Linked DNA regions of Yarrowia lipolytica. The protein of the gene in region 1 interacts with the protein of each later gene in a pairwise test. Links are inferred from orthologs where the notes say so. Each region holds a gene or a part of one and is shown in the gene's direction. Other genes may lie near its edges.

Region 1 (5,239 bases):
TATCGTCGTCATTGTCGCGTTTGTATTGAAAGCGTAGTCTGTAGACAGTATTTTGGACACCGATATTGGAGATGACAATAAAGTTGGGGTTGGGAGAAATATACTGTAATATTAGGAAGAAAGGTGTGGAATATAGAGATATCGCTTGTACTGTACGTGGATTTTGTGGAAGATTTCATGTGTGAAGAAAGTGAGATGTGGGTATCATTGAATATCAGCAACTGAGGAGACTAGGTCGATTTGCTTCAATAGTCAACCTGATCTTCTATTGTTACGGTTGACGGGTACTAGAAGTTTCTAAGATTCCGTCTTATGAAACTTATTTTGGTGATTTACTTGAAGGGAATGACAAGAGACGATCGAGTGAGTATTTTGTTTATTCTGTGGATTTAATAGCTGTTCCAATGGAATCATTTAGTGTGTCAGTCACTCTGAGTCAGATGTATTCCCTCTTTTTTATATATGTATCACGTAATTACTTGTACTCATAATTTTTAGACACAGCACCTACCAAGTCGTTGAGTGAAGCTGGACAGTACATACTGTAGATCAGAATAACTTGATAGGATGTGGATATGATTTCTGAAGGCTTCTTAAGTTACATTTTTATTTTACGGAACTGTTTTATGATGCTCTATCAGCCCTTTTTGTCTTCTGTCACCCAACAAGGTGGGCTACTGTAGCCTTCGCGGCACATTTCTCAGATGAAGGGACTTTCCAGGGACCAACCATTGGGTTCAATATTGGAGCCATCTCGGTTTTAAAAGCTGAATTGTGCTCTGTTTTCTACATGTAAGTTGGTGAATGTAACAGATTGTTCGCAGCTCCTGCATCCATCCTCATTGACACCCACCAATGAGCATAGTTTGGCTACACCACTGATGAGTACACTGTACCGTAACTGTACCTGCCGGCGTACTTCAAAAGACGTGATATTGATCTGAGAGGTTAGCTGAAAAACTAAATCAACATGCAGCCTTCTTCTTTTCCCGAAAAGTCACTCATTTTCTCGCAGGTGTGCCCATTAGCAAAACACAGACTCTCCAGCCCTTCCTCATAGAGTTCAAGCGTCATCAATTGGGTATCTGACCATACTGTACTATATCTTGGCCAATACAGATGATGAGTAAATTCTGAAAAGCGCATTCTTTTCTAAGTAGACTAGAAACTTGATTTCCTTACTCACCCCAACCCCATATACGCGTACATGCCACCTGAATGTCACTCAGGGCATAATACCCCACCTGTGGATAAACTCTATTCTTCCCCGGATATCTCCCACAGTGACCTCTCTTCTATCACTGTCACCTAACACACAACACACCAAACACAATGGCGACGCTTGCAAGGACGGCCAAGATCTTTGGACTCTCGCTCGTTGCTGGAGCTACTGCCATGACCGGGTACCACTTCGGTGCTCTGGGGCGTCATGAGCTGACTTATCCGGTTGCTACCGAGAAGGATCATTTTCACTCCAAGGAGAGCACCTTTCTTCACAACAGTCAATTCGCCAAGGAGCTGCGGGAGAAAGGTTTTCGTGAGACCCGTTTGAGTGAGAAGATTCCTCTGGAGTACTCTCGAGGATTCCTGGAGTCGTTTCTGAAGAAGCCTGGATACCTGACCGTTGATCCACTGCTGTTCTACAAGCGGTGTGATGACGGAAAGAACGGTGTCATGTATGCATTTCTGCACGTCGGCGACCATTTAAACGGACACACTGGAATCGTGCATGGTGGTTTCCTGGGCACCCTGCTGGATGAGTTTGTATGTCTGGGGGCCTTCCCCAGCCTGCCCTCTCAGCAGTACGGAGTGACTGGCACCCTGGAGATCAATTACCGACAACCAGTTCGAGAGAACCAGTACCTCATGGTGCGAGTGGAGACTAAGGACATTCAGGGCCGAAAGGTAATTGCTGACGGATCTATCGAGAAGTTTGAGGGAGGTGATCTGTGGGAGAAGAAGAAGCAGAACGTGCTTGCTGAGGCTGAGCTGGTGGTCATTGAGCCCAAGTGGATTAAGGAGATGACTCAGTACTTTAAGAAGAAAGACGAGTAGTAAGGATCTGGAGATGAAGGCAGTGTTTTGGCTACTGGACTCAAAGTCTGCTCGCTCAGTCAGAGAGAAGCTACCACGTGAGCAGCAATGAGGTGGGACAATAAGTGACCATGTCTGTTTTGTTAGATGTGTAACAATGTTTTTAATTTGTTTATGTGACACTGGCGGGACATGTTGTCTCAATGGGAGATGTCGATATAGAAGCTACGAGTAGCGAACTGCGAGGCGTTCAGGTCATACCGGAGGCCTATTGTAGGAGGTGTGAGGAGGATGAAATACTTCAGCTGTATTCAGCTACCCTAATGAATTTGCTGAAACTGAAATATTAGATCCTTCAACAGAATCATCATATCCTCAGGCTTGCCTGGTCCCTTTTAGGATTGAGCTCACACAGATGTCTCTTATCCGTCATACAGAATTTGAAACGGTATAGTCAGTAAAAAATTGATAACCACTTACAGTCTACTGTATCGTACCAAAGCATCAATGTTCTCCATGAATTTTCACTACAACTACAAGTAGCTTCCGTTACAAAGAATGCGTGTCTGAAACACACTATAGACCATTTATTTAGCCTTCTAAAGTCACCAAAAATATATGTTGTGTCGAATTTTAGAAGTTATAACATTGTACCACAAGTTCTCGAAAAACGTCTACTCATCTCGCTCCTTACTGTTCCACAACCCCCTCCCAAGCCCTTCATCACCACCGATTAAACTTCGGCCTTATCGAAAATAAGCTCATGGTTGTACATATTTTGATGCATATTTCTGTCCACCTAATTTTTTCCTCACCACATCATGATCCAGATCAAACGCATCAACGACAAGTATCTGGTGTTTAAGGTAGAGGACATCCGGTTTCTCCGGCAAGAGCATCTCATTGGAGGCACGTTAATCGGTACGCTACCTCAAATCCCCCAACAGAATGTCTTCTGTGGCCTGCCACTGCAACTGTTCAAGGAAGAGGTGATATTTCTGATGAAGAATGGAATTGCAGAGGTTGTGGACGATAGTGCAAGTCATGTGACAGCCCTTACTTCCCAAACGCCTGAAGATATCGAAAACTACGAAAAACAACGCCATACAGCCCAGCAACTGCAGATCAAGGAGTATACAGAGGGTATGCTTGAGCGACGTCGGCAGGCTCTTGAGAAGAAGGGAATGAGCGGGAAGATTGACAAGGAGGTTGTGGTTGCTACTGATAACGCCATATCATACGTCACTGATGCTACCACTACAAATGAGACGCTGGAGGGATACAACATGTTCAGCAAGGAGAATGTGCTGAGCGACCTGCTAGAGCACGTGACTTCGGCTCAGTATTATATCTTCAACTTTTTGCATTCCCGAGGGTATTTCTTGTCACCTGGCCTGCGGTTTGGAGGCAATTTTTTGGCATACCCCGGAGACTCCGTCAGATACCACTCCCATTACATTGCTATTGGCAAGGAGTATGAGGAGAAATTCCCCATCAAAAGTGTTATTGTTGGAGGAGGGCGTCTTGGAACTAATGTAAAGAAGTGTCTTGTTCTTGGGGGAGAGAATGACGAGGGTGGGGACAGTGTGTATTGCATTGAGTGGAGTGGTTTTGGTTAGATGAAGAGTGGGTGACAATGTACATACTATAATGAAAAATGATAATAAAAAGCTGAGGGATCTGATTGGGTTGTTGCTACTTATAATATAGATCGTTGACAAAGACCGCAATGTTTTCTTTAAGAAACCTTTGTGGTGTTGTTTATAGGTTCTTTTACAATACAATGTCAAAGGGTTTGCCATATGATCTTCATTTTGGTGTCGTATGAAAAATTACGGCGAGGAGATGAAACCATCAAGAAAAACAACTGTTGACGTTCACCAGATATACTGTAGAGCTTCTTTGAGCTTCACAAAAGCTGTCGCTTCCTACAAAGTACAAGTACAAGTACAAGTACATAGATATTCCTGCTCACACCAGAGCCCACCTTGATGCAGCATGTATTTGTACAGTAGCCTTACACGTACAATAGGAACAAACAGAGAAGTGTGGTGATGTCGTCTTCTCCTGCCGACTACAGCAACGTAGTAAATCCCTTGTTTCCACGTGACCATTCAGTCGATTTTCGTTTTCGTTTTCCTTAACCATTCGTCTAAGCTCTCACCATCAAGCTTGCTTGCGGCTATACGCTGTTTTTGGAATACAGTCTACGAACATTAACTACTGTACGATAGCTATGATACTGTATTACAGTAGTCTCGGGAAGAGGGACTCGTACGCCCGTCGCACTTTGGAGACTCGATATGAAAAATGGAGAAAATTTATAAGATAATAAGCAATGGTATCAGAACTACTTATAGCTACAAGTACCCTCGATTTTACCATTGGCATTATTTTGACCACAACATTTTCAGGATTTACCTCATCAAGTGCACAGCCAAATGTGGCTTGAATATGTTCGTCGAGGGGCCTCTTCAGAGGCAAAGCCCCGGCGACTCATGGGGCTCACACAGCCAAGCTATAATCGGCGCCACACCTGGAGCGCGGTTAGCGGAGAAGCAGAAGAGGAAGTGAGATATATGGTGAATAAATGAAGCGTTGAATGAGGGAAGAGTGAGATATTCAGAAAATGAATGTGTGTTTGCAGCATGGTACGATACATGAAGCACCTTACTGTAGTATGCACCGCACAGAGACGACTCTCAACCAACTATTGTGTCATTGCTGTCAGCTCGATTATGACACCAGCCCCTGTAACTAAAGTGAGCCTCATTCAGCCATTTAGTCCGTGAGTCGCAAAGACAGCTGCCTCGAAAAGACCCCAACCAAAACGAGCAAATGTGGCTTGACCAAAGTGGAGGAAATAGCGGACATGTAACACTTGACTTGACTAGCCCGGGTTTGCTTTTGATAACAGATATTATGTGGCGTGTGTGATAAAAACAGACCCACAATGGGTGTATCGCCGTGTCTCGGCTTGATTTCAGCCCAAATGTCTTTTCCCCAGCCAGTGCGATCTCCACTTGGATCCTCCCACCTACCCCATAATCTCCACTCCAGATCATCATGCCCACCGCCCTTGCAGTAGCTTATCTGAGGTGTGTATCAAGCAACAACCAAGCATTGCTACTGTACGATACTGTAGTCCCTGGCTAAGCACCAGTACGCCACACACTTGACAAACACATGACACTACAATATTCAC
Region 2 (3,502 bases), on another chromosome or scaffold:
CCATGTAGTCAGGCTGGATAGCAACGGCAACCTTCTGCTCGTACTCGCCATCGAGCCACTCCTCCTCAATCTCCATAGGGTAGACTCCCCAGGTGTTTGACACCCATTCGGTGATGTGGAAGACACTGCTGTCCTCAATTTCTCGCTTGTGCAGAGCCTTACCCTGAATGTATGCGCAGTGGAGTCGGACCTTCTCGGCGTCGGGGAATTCTCGGGTGTACCAGGTGAACCAGTGGACGTGATCAAGCATGACACCCTTTCCGTATTGAGGGGAGCACCAGGGGCCAACTCGCTGCTTCTTCACCTTGATAAACTTCTCGGGTGTGCATCGCTCAACAGGGTTGAAGGAGGCCTCGATGGGATCCTCCTCGTCCAACATCTCATTGTGGACCACGACATCAGTAGGGTGAGCGGTCTTGTAGCCAGCAGAACGAGCGTTCTCAGTCACGTCTCGGTTGACGTGGAACCAGTCTCCATACTCAGGAGGAGCATTCTTAGTCTTTCCTTTGACCACCTTGGGAGTGATGGTCTTGGCCTGACCGTCCTTCTTCAGCTTGATCCAAGGGTTGGGAACAGCACCCACCTGTCGCTGGCCTCGGAAAAGCGCGTCTCCCCAGACGGTGGGGGTGACATGCATGGGTTCACCTCCATCTGTGGGCTTCAGCAGCCACGGCTTGGTCACATGGGCCTTTGTGATTTTAGTTTTCTTGGAGAACACCTTGGGGGGTCGCTTAAAGGGGTCTGCTCGCTTCTCGAGGTCAGACACGTCTGTGGGCTCGGATCCGGGCAAATCTGTGATGGTCGAGTAGTCGATGGCTTCGGTGTTTACCACGGTAGCTGTTGGCAGCGCCAGAACGGCTCCGGCAAGAAGAAGTACCGAGAATTTCATTGTTGTGTACAGTAGTGTTACACGTGTGTTGAGGCTATGCGATGTAGCGTGCGAATGCGGGTTTGGGGGGCACTAGGGCAGATGCTGAGCTCAAATACTCTTGTTTTCAACGTGTTTTTAGGCGGTGGCGAAAATGGTCGTGACTTCACAGGTGTGTTAGGAAGACTGTTGGAGGGTGATGTGTGTTTTTAAACCTGATGCGTGATTTAGCTCAAAAAATGAGATACATGAAGTATAAGCAGAATGTTTGTACGGCTGGGAGGAGAAACGGGTGAAAAGTCGGGCGTTTGGAGGCGTAAAACGTGCGTTCGAGCAGCAAAAATGTTCATAACAGTGAATCAACATATTAAACGCCCTCAAACGGTCAATAAGCATTATATTCACGGACTTACCGCCGCCTCGCTTTCGCCAGTCGTATCTCAGTGTTACGTTTCCCGGACTTGTAGAGTTCTGAGCCTAATCCAGGTTTTTGGTGGCACCCAAGTCTTCTCCCAAACACGAGTATTTTCCAGCATATGCAGATTTTCCTAGGACCGTTAAAAATTAAATCCGACGGAGATAACGCGCCCGCAGAAACTTTGAGACGCACAGTAAGCAGAAAAAGTTAGTGGTAGACGACTGGCACAGATACTGAACAAAACAACCACTATCAATCACACATTCACCATGGCTGAACAAATAAGAACCAACCTTGTTCATCAGCATCTGTGGAGCGACGTGGTCATCCACCAGACTAAGCTCACAGACCTGGTGCATGGAACTCCACCCAGGACTTTGCACCCTGATGACGCTGAGATCAGATCGGAATGGCTAGTACCTGCCAGATCCAACGACGACTGGACTATCAAGCAGTGGGACGAGTGTTTTCGCGAGGCTGAGGGTGTGGCTGGAAAAGACGTCGATCGCATGCTAATGGCCATCGTGGACAATGACTCCACCATCGTCTACTACTTCGTCTACAAGGGTCTGGTCAAGCCTCGAAAGAACTAGATTCACAACTATTATACACCCTGTTCCGTTATGATCCCGGTCCAGGCATTATCACCTTGCATTATAAATATATGTACATTACATGAAACAATATGGTCTGGGGCATAGTAATGTAGCACCCAGTCAGCCAGAAGACCTGTAGCTCGCGGCTTAAATAGGTCTTGACTGTAACATCAACTTCCATCTTTGTCACTCCAAAAACACCATGGATTCGTCAATCACAGGGCTCAGTTTCACATTGCCACTGTTAACCCAACGTCTAACAGATTTCTTCAAAACCCGTCCTCCCAGTTGTACCTTCTTGGCTTTTTCGTCGCTGTAGAGAACTACAGCATGCATTTCTTTGAGTGCTCGCATCACATCTTCCGGCTGGATATAAGTATGTTCGCTGATCGTCTCAATCGTGATGACGTCTTCTGTACACTCTATCAAGATGAACCGGGCTATCGTAGTACACCAGTAAGACATATATGATAAAGTGCCGAACTTCGACAGCGGTCGCTCTGGACTTCCTTTACGGCCTTCGTACTTCGACAGCACGTATGAAAACTCGATCAGCAGTTTGCCCAGCCCTCGCCTTTGATACGGAGGAAATACCAGAATGCAAGCCAGATTGTTTTCGTCCCACGACAGTTTCTCCTTGGAGAAGAAGCCCATGGGTTTAAAGTGCCTGCTGCTGGCGGTATCCTTGCCGAGCACAACATAAAATTCAAAGGCATCGGCGCCGAAGAACACAGACTTGTGGTCCAGGAAGAGCTTCGCGAACAGACAGAGATTCTGGCAGTAGAGCTTGTGAACGGCGCCATCAACACGGCGAATGGCATAGTCTTTCGATTTGTAAACCGTCTCTCCGGGGTGCTTGAACACATACTTGCAGGTGCTTCGGTGTTGGGCCATGTCCTTGGAGACCTTCGAGTATTTGAAACACGAGTCGCAGACAAACAGCTGTTTGACCTGGAAGTCGACCTGGGCTGGTGGTTGGTCATTGGGGGCCACAGATGCGTTTGCTGATGATCCAGAGGACGAAATGGTTGAGGATGTTAATGCAGAAGAGGTTCCTCCAGGTGTGCCAACAGACGGAGAGCTGTAGCGCTCAATGAAGAGCCGGGACATGTCGCAGGTGTGATTGTCCTTGTCCTTGTCGAGGGCCTTGGCCTCCATCAACGCCATGGCCCGCTTCCAGGTCAACTTCTTGAGTTCGTCCTTCTGTGAAAAATAGTATGCCGACGAGTGGTACCACGTGTCGAATTCACGAGGGCCAAAGACCACCCGTCCAATGTTTCGTGGAGGCTCTTCTTCCTCCTCATCGTCCAAGGGGTCGTCGTGCATTAGTGTTGGCATGCCAGGAGAAGATGTTGTCTATGTTGAAGGACTTCGTTTCTCGTCACCACAGAACAGTCATGCACGCTTCAACGTCGCGCTTAAAGACCCATGAGGCGGATGTGTAATAGATTACTTGTAGAGCAATTACTAACGAGAATGGTGTATAACATACTAGGGCTCAGTGTGCACACTATGTAACCATCATTTAATATAAATGTGTCTCTTTTAATTACACCTTTCATTTTTCTACTGAGACCACCTCACTTGCGGCTCGTACTATTTTCGCCCCTCAAAAATCGA

The links. The genes of interacting proteins can lie anywhere in the genome.
Region 2: the proteins of YALI1_E33858g (region 1) and YALI1_D35126g interact in binary tests that used the Saccharomyces cerevisiae proteins (3 or more experiments, as listed by UniProt). The link is inferred for Yarrowia lipolytica from reciprocal best matches to the Saccharomyces cerevisiae genes SEN34 and SEN15.

Annotation. Positions count from the first base shown.
Region 1 is NC_090774.1:3,382,943-3,388,181, forward strand, and holds YALI1_E33858g (uncharacterized protein), read left to right. Parts: upstream 1-2,855; coding exon 2,856-3,653; downstream 3,654-5,239. Other genes in the region: YALI1_E33829g (uncharacterized protein), read right to left, coding at 1-12; YALI1_E33843g (uncharacterized protein), read left to right, coding at 1,333-2,055. UniProt on the Saccharomyces cerevisiae protein: Constitutes one of the two catalytic subunit of the tRNA-splicing endonuclease complex, a complex responsible for identification and cleavage of the splice sites in pre-tRNA. It cleaves pre-tRNA at the 5'- and 3'-splice sites to release the intron.
Region 2 is NC_090773.1:3,510,984-3,514,485, forward strand, and holds YALI1_D35126g (uncharacterized protein), read left to right. Parts: upstream 1-1,555; coding exon 1,556-1,879; downstream 1,880-3,502. Other genes in the region: YALI1_D35119g (uncharacterized protein), read right to left, coding at 1-889; YALI1_D35143g (uncharacterized protein), read right to left, coding at 2,069-3,220.